Linked DNA regions of Xenopus tropicalis. The protein of the gene in region 1 interacts with the protein of each later gene in a biochemical or structural test. Links are inferred from orthologs where the notes say so. Each region holds a gene or a part of one and is shown on either strand. Other genes may lie near its edges.

Evidence for each region.
Region 2: the proteins of ap1g1 (region 1) and synrg form a complex in vitro, tested with the Homo sapiens proteins (2 studies listed by BioGRID). The link is inferred for Xenopus tropicalis from reciprocal best matches to the Homo sapiens genes AP1G1 and SYNRG.
Region 3: the proteins of ap1g1 (region 1) and clint1 form a complex in vitro, tested with the Homo sapiens proteins (2 studies listed by BioGRID). The link is inferred for Xenopus tropicalis from reciprocal best matches to the Homo sapiens genes AP1G1 and CLINT1.

Annotation. Positions count from the first base shown.
Region 1 is NC_030680.2:59,348,196-59,351,850, forward strand, and holds part of ap1g1 (AP-1 complex subunit gamma-1), read left to right. Parts: intron 1-2,171; coding exon 2,172-2,180; intron 2,181-2,665; coding exon 2,666-2,761; intron 2,762-2,894; coding exon 2,895-2,975; intron 2,976-3,202; coding exon 3,203-3,301; intron 3,302-3,655. UniProt on the Homo sapiens protein: Subunit of clathrin-associated adaptor protein complex 1 that plays a role in protein sorting in the late-Golgi/trans-Golgi network (TGN) and/or endosomes.
Region 2 is NC_030678.2:74,825,636-74,829,290, reverse strand, and holds part of synrg (synergin gamma), read right to left. Parts: intron 1,128-3,655; coding exon 1,009-1,127; intron 1-1,008. UniProt on the Homo sapiens protein: Plays a role in endocytosis and/or membrane trafficking at the trans-Golgi network (TGN). May act by linking the adapter protein complex AP-1 to other proteins. Component of clathrin-coated vesicles.
Region 3 is NC_030679.2:13,970,941-13,974,595, reverse strand, and holds part of clint1 (clathrin interactor 1), read right to left. Parts: intron 2,242-3,655; coding exon 2,133-2,241; intron 661-2,132; coding exon 496-660; intron 1-495. UniProt on the Homo sapiens protein: Binds to membranes enriched in phosphatidylinositol 4,5-bisphosphate (PtdIns(4,5)P2). May have a role in transport via clathrin-coated vesicles from the trans-Golgi network to endosomes. Stimulates clathrin assembly.

The DNA.
Region 1 (3,655 bases):
ACTGCCAGCACCACCCTAGTGGTTAGTAATAATAAGTAATAAATAATCAAGGGTGGATTTCCCCTACTAATGTGAAGTTTTGTATGTTGTAGACCAGCTATGTTAAAATATAAGAAAAGGTGAAGAGCATGCAAAAAGTTCCTGGGGGTGTCCATTATGTGCTGTCATTGACTGTTTGTAACTCCTATGTGGACTGGCAACCGACAAGGCTCTGTTTTGCAGTATTCAAGTTTTTCATGCAACTAAATCCTGCCTTCAAGCCAGGAATTAAAAAAATGAGCACCTACATGGAGGGAACTGACAGCAACATCAAAGGGGAGCAACATGTTGCTCGCGAGCCACTGGTTGAGGTTCACTGTTACAAACTTAAGGTGGCCATACACCGGAAGATTTGCTTGTTTAGTGAGGCCGCCAAGCGAGCAGATCGTCTCCCGATATGCCCACCTAAAGGTTGGCAATTTTAGGCTAATTTGATTGTTTGGCCCTACTGACATTTGCCAATGCAAATGGGGTTGTTTGAGTTCCCTGCAGTATATTAATACCTTACTCTTGGTGTGATGATATTTGTTGATTGACCACAACTGTACAAGTGTAGTCCAAACTCCTTAGAAATAGTTTTAAAGCTTTTTCCAGCCTTGACAGCATCAATAACTGTTTTTCTGAGGTCTTAAGAAATCTCTGTTTAAGCCTTAACACACAGCCACAAACCCAGATTTCTCTAGATAAGGCAGAGCATCACATGATAATTATCCCGATTATCATGCCATTGTTTAAAACTCAAATATCCCCTTCAAAGGAACTGAGAATTCTAGAGGGCCACATACTTTGCCAAACACACTTATGTAACTTTGGATCATTATATGCATTGTGTTTGGCTGATTGGTTTAACTTGGTTCTCTATACATAGTTTTAGGACTTGCATGAGACAGATCATCTTATAACTCACAATATATGCAGAAAAAATGAAAATCCAAAAGGGTTCACAAACTATTGAGGTCCACTGTATATTTCTGTTGTGGCCACCTGTTATTGATCAGGTCTTTTATTCATTCAATGGACTCCCCATCATTTAAATGCTGCTTAGAGATCCTCTTCCACCAGTGGTAAAACAACACTCTACGAGGCCCCCTTCGGCATATCTTTGGAGGGCTCCCCCTGTTCCCCAGGCCTCCCTGCGACTGCTTCCTCTATAGTTATGCCGCTGTCTTCCACTTTGTCTGTCTTTTCATTCACTTTTGTTTACCATCTGCCTTAGTTTCATTCTCAATGTGTTTTTTTTCATTGGAGGTCATCAGCCTCTCTTAAACATTTTTGAGAAATGGTAAATGTAAATGTGAAGAATGAAAAAAAAAATTAGAAATGTAGGAAAGACCGTCCAGGGCTGTTCCAAGTGGATCCTCAAAGGCTTGATTGTTAAGGCCTTATTAGTTGCTCTAAAAAGTGTCATTGTTTAACATCATAATTTTAAAGTGGGACTAAACACTCCTAAACATATTCATGTAAAACTGCCCAGAGAGCTTTTCAGAGCACTTTAACAATTTACTTTTTTTTTTCTTCACTTTTCGTTATATATTAGCAGTTTTCTACTGTCCAATCAAAGACACAATAGATATATTCTCAATAAGCCTAGCCGTGCTTTCACATAACCATTTCAAGCACTTTTCTTTTTCTTTCTTAAACAAAGCCATAGGTCTCTGATTTTTAATCCTCCCATCCAACTTGCTCTGTTGCTGTGCTGTTGCTTGGCAGCCTATGTTAGTCTGTACTTGAGTGACTCTCTTGCATACTTTCTGCAACCCCTCTGACCTTTATTACAATTCTTTCACAGTAGCTCAATCACTAGGGGGCTTGTGCTTTAGTATTAGTGGAATGGTAATTTATTCTGGCATTTTGGGACATGTATAGTTGTGCCAAAATAAGGAAAATCTGTTTTGTCACGATTAACTACCGAATTAAAAACTGACACTTTGAGTGGTTCTTTAGATATTTCTGGGTAGCTTAAAATTACCTTTTGTTTGCAAAACATCTTAAAATATCAGACCTTTTGAATGTGACAGCTATCTAAAATATTTTCACATCAGAGCACCCACATGCATGCTCTGCAGATCAGTGTCCCTAATTGCTGCTTCCTGTCTTTTATTCTGTTTGCTTGGGATCCTGCTGAATGGTAGAATGAAAAGGTAAGACTTCTTCTTTTGTATTTCACTGTTGTTTCTGCCCTAGATAGTTGATCTATTGAATGAATGAAATCACTCTCCACAAGTGTAACTTATTTATCAGTCTTTTTAGATATTTTGTAAAGCTAAAAACTAGCCTCCTTTACCACCCCTGTCCCAAATTAAAAAATAACAGAACAAAAACTTGATTTACTGAGGGATCCATTGTAAATCTTGTCCTTCCGTGGCTTATACTCCTAAACCATAACATTGTGCCTGTCGTACTGAATCGTATTACCTTGATCTCCATACACACAACCCAATCTGAAGTTTACAACTAATGCCTACTTTGTAGCTTTAGTCACTCTGTCTGTTGTGGTCAGATTTGTGTTCTGGTGGAAATATAATGTGTATTTGCTTTGAGAGCAGACTGATCCACATTGATATAAATTTTAGCTTTTTGAGATAAAGTTTTTTGAGTCTATCAAACCTTTTTTTTCCCCCTCCAGCTTGTCCCCCAGTTAGTTCGTATTCTTAAAAACCTTATCATGTCCGGGTATTCTCCAGAACATGATGTGTCTGGGATCAGTGACCCCTTTTTGCAGGTGAGTGTGGGTATGTGTTTAAGCTCAGTGACGGTATGAAGCATTTTTATTAAATTCTAAGAGGGACCTTGGTTACCTAATAACTGTTTTTTTTTTTTGTTTGTTTGTTTGCTTGTTTTTTGGACTGTTTAAGGTTCGGATATTGCGGCTTCTCAGGATATTAGGCAGAAATGATGATGATTCAAGTGAAGCCATGAATGATATTTTGGCACAGGTAAGCAAGCAAATGCAGCTCGGTCGATAATAAACTTCTGTATTTTTGCCTGGTATAGCAGTTGATTAAAAGATTTGTTTTTGACTGAATGGACTTACAAAAGTGTAGTATTGGTTTGTTGATTTGTGGATTTTGTGTGGAACGAGAGTAATAGTGCTGTGTGTTCTAGATGACGCACTTCATCAGTTATATAGTTATTTTCCTCTTGTGCTATTGTTATTTTTTAGGTTGCAACCAACACAGAGACTAGTAAAAATGTCGGCAATGCCATTTTATATGAGACTGTCTTAACAATCATGGACATAAAGTCAGAGAGTGGTCTACGGGTATGTGTCACATCAGATCTGATCTTTTGCTTAAAATCACTTTTCTCCCCCCTTGCATAATAACTGCTCCTGCAAATAGACCACCATTGCCTCTTCTTTCTGCATTAACCTGTGCAAATCCCCTTTTCTAGCTGTTCTAAACCTTTAGGCTAATAGTACACAGGTCGTCTTTATCTGCTAGAGTTTATATGCCAGTTGAGAAATAACAATCTGCTGCCGTCTGTTCCCTGTATGTGAGTCCTCTGACATGTTTGGGATTAACTTTTCACACACAGACAGCAGAAACTGCATACTTCAGCTTTTTGTGCCAAAATCCACACTTTTTGCACGGACAGATTGACCACAGTCAGGGAG
Region 2 (3,655 bases), on another chromosome or scaffold:
ATGCCCAAAATCGTCCCGTTGACCCTGTGCGCATTTTAGCACCGGCTCTGCAATGGGGGGGGGGGGGGGGTGTGATCCCTTAATTCACCAATCCTGCAGCATAAAGGGTTAAACGTCCTACTCACCACAATCACTCTGCTTCCAGCTCTAGAATGGAACGCATGTTAACATGCAGCAAGGGGCAGTATTTTCAGCGCAGAGAGAGGGAGTCAGATTACGGCGTTAGGACCCTGCGGCTCCGGCAGGCTGCCCAGCTGTGCGAGTGAGTGTGGCCCGGTAGGGGGGAAGCAGGCACAGTCGCACCCCTCTCTGTCATTCTCTCTCTCTGCCCCCTCCAACACACCTACAACCTGATCGATATCACAGCCTGGGAAATGGGCTGCTGGAGCTTGTCAGGTGAGATACGGGTGGCCCTCCTTACATGCGTGCGCGCACCTGCACCCAAACGAACGCGCACCCACGTCCGGCCACGGGGGAAGGTGGTGCGAGTCACAACAGCCAGCACACCGACCAACAGCACATACGCGAGTATAAGCCGAGGGTTAATTTTTCAGCACATTTTTAGTGCTGAAAAACTCGGCTTATACTCGAGTATATACGGTACTTATTTTTCTACTCTACTGGTTCTTTCCTGTTCATTTACAAGTCTCATTAAACTCTCTCAATGCACCCCAAGCAGCAAGACCTATTTTTAATTCCCTGTGTTAAGAGTGACATCAGCAGAGCAATGTGCGCATGCACAGTGCAGATTCTGTGGCTTTGGCAGTGGTTGTGCACATGCGTGCAATGTTACTTCAGGATTGAAAAAATTTGCAGCAGTGCGATGGCGCCGCATATCCCTTGGCCAAACATAGTTAGAAGTTGACTGCTCTGCTTGAGGGTTTTCCGATTTACTTGGAAAGCAGGCAGAACTTGATGGACATGTGCCCGTTTTCAACCTTATCTACTATTTATTAGGTAACTTCATAAATACTAAATAATAAACACAAAGCTATTATTGAATAGTACCTGCAAAGCCATGGTCCCATGTGGAATCTGGGCCGCATATCCGATTCCCATCATATTCTGCATGCTTGGTTGCATCACTGATATCAGCGGAAACCCTTGAGGTTGCTGTTGCATCCCACCTGTACCAAAACATACCAGTGTCACCAAAATTCAAAAAAGACAAAAGAACGGACAACAAGTATTAAATTTTTCATGTGTTTGTACACACTGCACAGTTCATTTTTCCCAAGAGTTGTGAAAGTAATAACCACCAAAAAACAGCTAGTACTTTCTGATTGTCCCTGTGTTATTTAAATCACTCATAGACCTATGTAGAACCCAGGAAATAAATTAATCAATGTAAGTGTATCCTTTCTTGAAATGCAATATTTCTCTTTCTAACATTAATACACAACAGACAGACACAAATGGTGTCAATGAATGGTAGACTATGATCCAAACATTTATTGTAATTTTATTTGCAGTATTGCACAAGCTTTCGAAAATAAACCACTCTTTAGATTTAGTATACACACGAACATTTATGTATATATTAGAATACATATATAGGTATGGGACCTATTAACCAAAATAAACCCAATAGGAATGTTTTGCCTCCAATAAGGATTAATTATATCTTAGCTGGGATTATGAAAAGGCACTGGTTTATTGTTACAGAGAGGAATTTTCAAAAATCAGAAGTATCAGGAATAAAATGACCATTTATTAATTAATAATAAAAAAAAAAAATCTATGACAAGCAAAGGTTATGGGTATCTTACTGTCTCTTAAAACCCCCCTCACTGTTAGCCACAGGGATCACTATTTTCCACTGATATTATTAACAATAAGTTATAAAGCGCCAACATATTCCGCAGTGCCATAAAATAAGTGGATGTATACCATGAACCTACAGATTAAATACAAAAATAACCTGTACAAGAAGTAGAGAGGGGTCCTACCTAAAAGAGATTATAATCGATGGGTAGCTCTAAGATTCACCCTATATAGACAATAACTGCAGGTTCAGAGTAACTGTCTGAAGTACCTAATTAAGTATTTATTTTTTTAACAAAAAAAAAAAGTGTTATTTTTTCTGCTGCACAGAGAATTTGATGTTACCGTCTATTCTGAGGAGTCCTGCCCTGTTTTATGACTTAGATTCCTGCTGTCTTTGTGCTTTGAAATGCAAATGTCACAGAAACCTCTATTGAAAACACTTGTTTACACAACAGTGCATTTCAGAGATGTTTTTCAGGCCTAAGTGGGCTAGGAGACCAAAACAGAATGAGGGACAGAAAAACAGCATGGGAGGGGGAAACAAAGACATAAAAGCTCAGGAGAAATTAGAAAAAAGGGGTAAAATACATAAAATAAATCTTAGGAGAAATGAAAAAAAAGAAGAACAAAAATATGGATGCCCTGCTCTGCCTACTCTCTATTTATTTGAAAAGCAGACACTCCTCACTTCCTGTCATTATCCTGACGACGATCCGCGTAGATTTGGAAATCCAATAACGTTTTTTGTTTATACCGTACATGCCGTGAGTGCTTTCTATGGAGCAAATATGATTACTCTCGCGCACCCGGCCTTCTACTACAGCGTTTGGTGAGTGCCGATGACTGGACTGTGTATATATATATATATATATATATATTTATTATATTGAGGCTATTTGCACCCACGAGTGCACACAAAGCTGATATCCGCTGACAAACGCAAGACTTGCTGCTTGTTGAAGGATATCGGCTGCGTGTGCCTGCACCTGGGGGTGAAATCAATGCTGGCACAACTAGAAGTATTTTTAATAGAGACTGACAATCCACCTTGTGTGACCTTGTACTTAGGGCAAGGGCATACGGAACGTATATCTGCTTCTCTCAGCCCTGCATTTTTCCATCAGGCTGAGAGAAGCAGATCCACTTCCCTACGCTGCTCCATGTGTCTGCATTGAAACGACACTAACCACCTCAGTGCAGGCACATGCAGAGCGTAGGTTTACCTTTAAAACTCGAGTGAAGTGTAGGTCCGCCTGTAAAACACGACGTGGATGAGGGTGCTCGCTGTGGTGGGCCATCTGAGTGCCTCCATGTGTTTCGGTTTTTATAAATTGGGTTTTGTTATATGGGTTTTTAAATAAATTTAGCATTTTTCTAAAGGAGTGCCCTGTTCACTGTATTTACTGATGGAAAAACACAGGGATTATAGAAGCATTACATTACATTAACATTTATTTATAAAGCGCCAACATATTCCGCAGCGCTGTACAATAAGTGGGTTACATACATTGGACATACAGAGTAACATATAAAGCAATCAATAACTGATACAAGAGGTGAAGAGGGCCCTGCCCAAAAGAGCTTACAATCTACAAGAGCTACGCTCTGTGTGCCCTTGCCCTTAGTGTGACAAAATATGACCTACGAAGTTTGACAAATATTTAAAAAATATTTTTGGCTCTCTACAGTCAAGGTCTAAAGCTGGCCATACACAGTAAGATTTGCATGTTTGGCAAAGTCACCAGATGAGCAGATCTTTTCCCCACCTAAGGTGGGTGATATTGGAGTTCTCTCAAGGGCCAAGCAACTAGATAACAAAAATGGGAATAGAAGCCATTGGAGCGAGGACCGCATCAATGAGCCAATGCCAGTCCCCTATCCAATGGGA
Region 3 (3,655 bases), on another chromosome or scaffold:
CAAAGAAAAGATGTCTGTGTATTTCCATTTAACACAGTGGGATTAAAGGCCGCATAGGAATGCAGGCACCCAGCAGGACATTCCTGACAGAGGCAATGCCAGATTTATGCATGTAGAGGTATAGGCTTTAGATGAAGTGGTACAGTGACAGCCAAAAATAATGATGTCTGTAAAGGCCCACTGTGTGTTCCTTTTCAAGAACCTACACACTAGGAATACTAAAGGGTGGAGGTGAACCAGTTTGACCTTCAGTAGGTATATTCCATGTACATACATATTTCATTACCACCTATGTGGGTTAACCCTCTTGCCTTTCATGTTAAAGACCATCAGCCACTGCAAAGAAAAATAAAAAAAATCTTTCCTGTGTATGCATGCTTACTGGTCCTTGTGCGTAAGAGGAGATCTTTCCTTGCAGTATGCCCATGAATGCCATGCTATAATCACAAAGAGCCCACCGTTCATCGCTACGTGCAGAACACACACGGTACTCACTGTATCTGAACCCCCCGGCACTTTCTGAAGACACTCCAATGTATTTGTCTTTGTTTTTCTTGGCTTTCTTCCTCTCCTCTCTGAGACGGTCATCGTCCTGGATGAACTCAACCATTTCCTTTACCTTCTGCCGAATGTTAATGCCTTGGTCTTTCCCATTTTCATCTGGTGCGGGGGTGAGAAAAAATACCATCAGATCTGTATTTGGCCCAAACACGTTTTGTGTTTCAGGATAAAACAGTCAATATTTATTATTCCATATATGGCCCTGCATGATCAATACTGACAAGCAAAGATCTTCCAGTTTATGGCAATCAAAGACTATATATCAAAGACTTTGCACTCTTTGCCCAATCTCATCACCCATGTGGTGGGCCAAAAGAGGCTAACCCACTTGTTTGGCCCTGCAGTTAATCTGATCATAATACAGGCCTAGAGAGACCCACTGGGGTCCAATTATTATCCATTATTCATTCATCCATTATTAACCACTTCATTATCAAGTGAGATTTTCAAACATGCCCAATAGGATCAATTTGGACAAGCCTTTCAGAGGCCCCCATACACAAGCCAATGAGCTGCTGGCTTAGACTGGAGGGGTTCACGTATGGCCAGCTTAACCAAAGTCTGGTTTGCCTTTTATATGTAAATTGTAATGTTAAAAATGGGCATTAAATCTGAAAAAGGAGCTGTCATGTTTTATTGAGTTGCTGTAATATCAACTCTACTCATGCTACTCAGGCATAAAGTTTGACAGTAGGCAAGCACTCTAGAAGTCTAGAGTCAACCAACCCTTTTATATGGACACATTTTACATGCCATACTGTTAGTGTGCTTGCCAAATAAAGGGTTTTAAAGTAAAGATGTGGGGACATGGGGTGGATAAAGAAGAGGATTAATGACACCAGTGCTCATTAATGCAACTCTGCTCCTTCCCCTGCTAAAGAATATGTTAAATCATGCTCAAAGAGCTTATTTCAAGCAAATTAACACATTTTACTGGGCAGACAACACACAACGCTCCACCAACTCCTAATTACTGATAACCTGCCTCTGCGCGGTACAGCTACTCCACGCGAGCAGAGCAAGATTCTGGCAGTTACCCCTTTACCAGCTCTTTTTTTTTTTTTTTTTTTTTAAATATAAATTTTAATGCATTCAAAACACACCCCAACTTTCCTCTGCACTGTAAATATTATTTGGTTAAGGCTTGGGTGGGGGAATAGTGAAAGAGAATAGACCCAGCTTCAAACAGCAATGCATCTGTACTGGAGGACCGACTTTTTCCCAGAGTATAATTAAAGCACTCCCTTTTCTTTCTAATGCCACAGGGGACCATCCTCTGGTGCATATTTTAATATAAACCTAGGCCAGTCATGTTGTGCTGCTTGTGTTGTTATTAGGTTTTTTCCTCTCGGCAAAAGTTTTTTTCCTTGCTAATTAATACTCTAGGGCCCCATATCTTGGAATCTGTTCTTCACAGCCTGAAGCAGCTCGGGGCCAATTAGGTCTCTGCAGTCTGTGAAGACGTTCGGGTGAGTGACAAGTCCAACAACTGTTTTAATTTGCTCCCCTTTCCTTGTTAAGCCCCCCCCCCAATACACGCATCTATTTTTTTCTCTCTCTCTAATACTCACCTACAAAGTGGTAATTTTCCAAGGATCGCAAGTCATAAATGTGCTCCCTGGCGCTTGTGACGACCCGCTCCGATCCATTCCGTATGAGGTATGCCAGCAACAGCATTGACTGCAGAGAATAAGAAGATGAAATCAGCACAGGGACAACGCAGCAATAATTTAGCCATCAGAAGGGCAAGCCCTTTAATATCACAATGTAACACAATCCAATACTAATTTAATGGCATAAATTCCCAACCTCTGCCACTGCTTTCCTTTAGCCTGTTTCCTTTAGTGCTGATCCATTGGACAATGCTGGGAGAATGCTGGGAGCAGTAGCTCAAAAACAACTATGACCACACAGTACAGGAATCACCAATATCATAATATGCCATGGGGCATTATAAGAATGGAGCCTGAAACTGGCCAAATGAGAGCATCTTTTGCTGAATTTGGTCACCCAATATCATACCAATGGCTTAGACAGACCTGCCTAGCAAGGACCACAGCATAGTAAAGGGCAACAACTCTCTCTATGCTATCTTCCTAAGCAGGCAGGCAGGTTTACCTCTCCCCCCTTCTAGCTCAAATAAATAGGAAATAAGCATCCTATGATATGCCTTTAAGGTCATTGCTCCAAACCGAATTCAGCTCTATAACCAACTGTAAAGCTGTAAGGTCACTAGTCAGACTTGCACTGCCCTGGGCCACAAACAAATACACTACATTTTTAACCACTTTAGAGCTGTTTCAGTGAGATCTCTTGTGAATACCTAATACAGGTGTGTGACCCGTTATCCAGAATAGTCGGGACCTGGGGTTTTCCAGATAAGGGATCTTTCCGTAATTCAGATCTCCTACCTTAAGTTTGCTAAAAAAATTAATGAAACGAATTAAAACCAACAGGATTGTTTTGCTCCAATAAGGATTAATTATATCTAAGATGGGATCAAGTACAAGGTACTGTTTTATTATTACAGAGAAAAAGGGAATCATTTAACCATTAAATAAACCCAATAGGGCTGTTCTGCCCCCAATAAGGGGTAATTATATCTTAGTTGGGATCAAGTACAAGGTACTGTTTTATTATTACAGAGAAAAAGGGAATCATTTAACCATTAAATAAACCCAATAGGGCTGTTCTGCCCCAATAAGGGGTAATTATATCTTAGTTGGGATCAAGTACAGGTACTGTTTTATTATTACAGAGAAAAAGGGAATCATTTTTAAAAATGTTAATTATTTGACTAAAATGGAGCCTATGGGAGATGACCTTTCTGTTATTCGGAACTTTCTGGATAATGGGTTTCCGGATAAGTGATCCGATACCTGTATCTCAATTAAATAGATCAATGGCAATAACGAGCTCCATGGTACCAAGCCAGTAGCATTTCATCTGAATATAAGCAGCACCTAAGCTGAACTATGAGCCAGGAGATAATGACAGATCTTATTCATACACTTATCATGTCTTGACTTGACTACTGAACCCCTTCTAACTGGGTGTCCTCCCATCTAATTGACCCCGCTCCAACCAATAATGA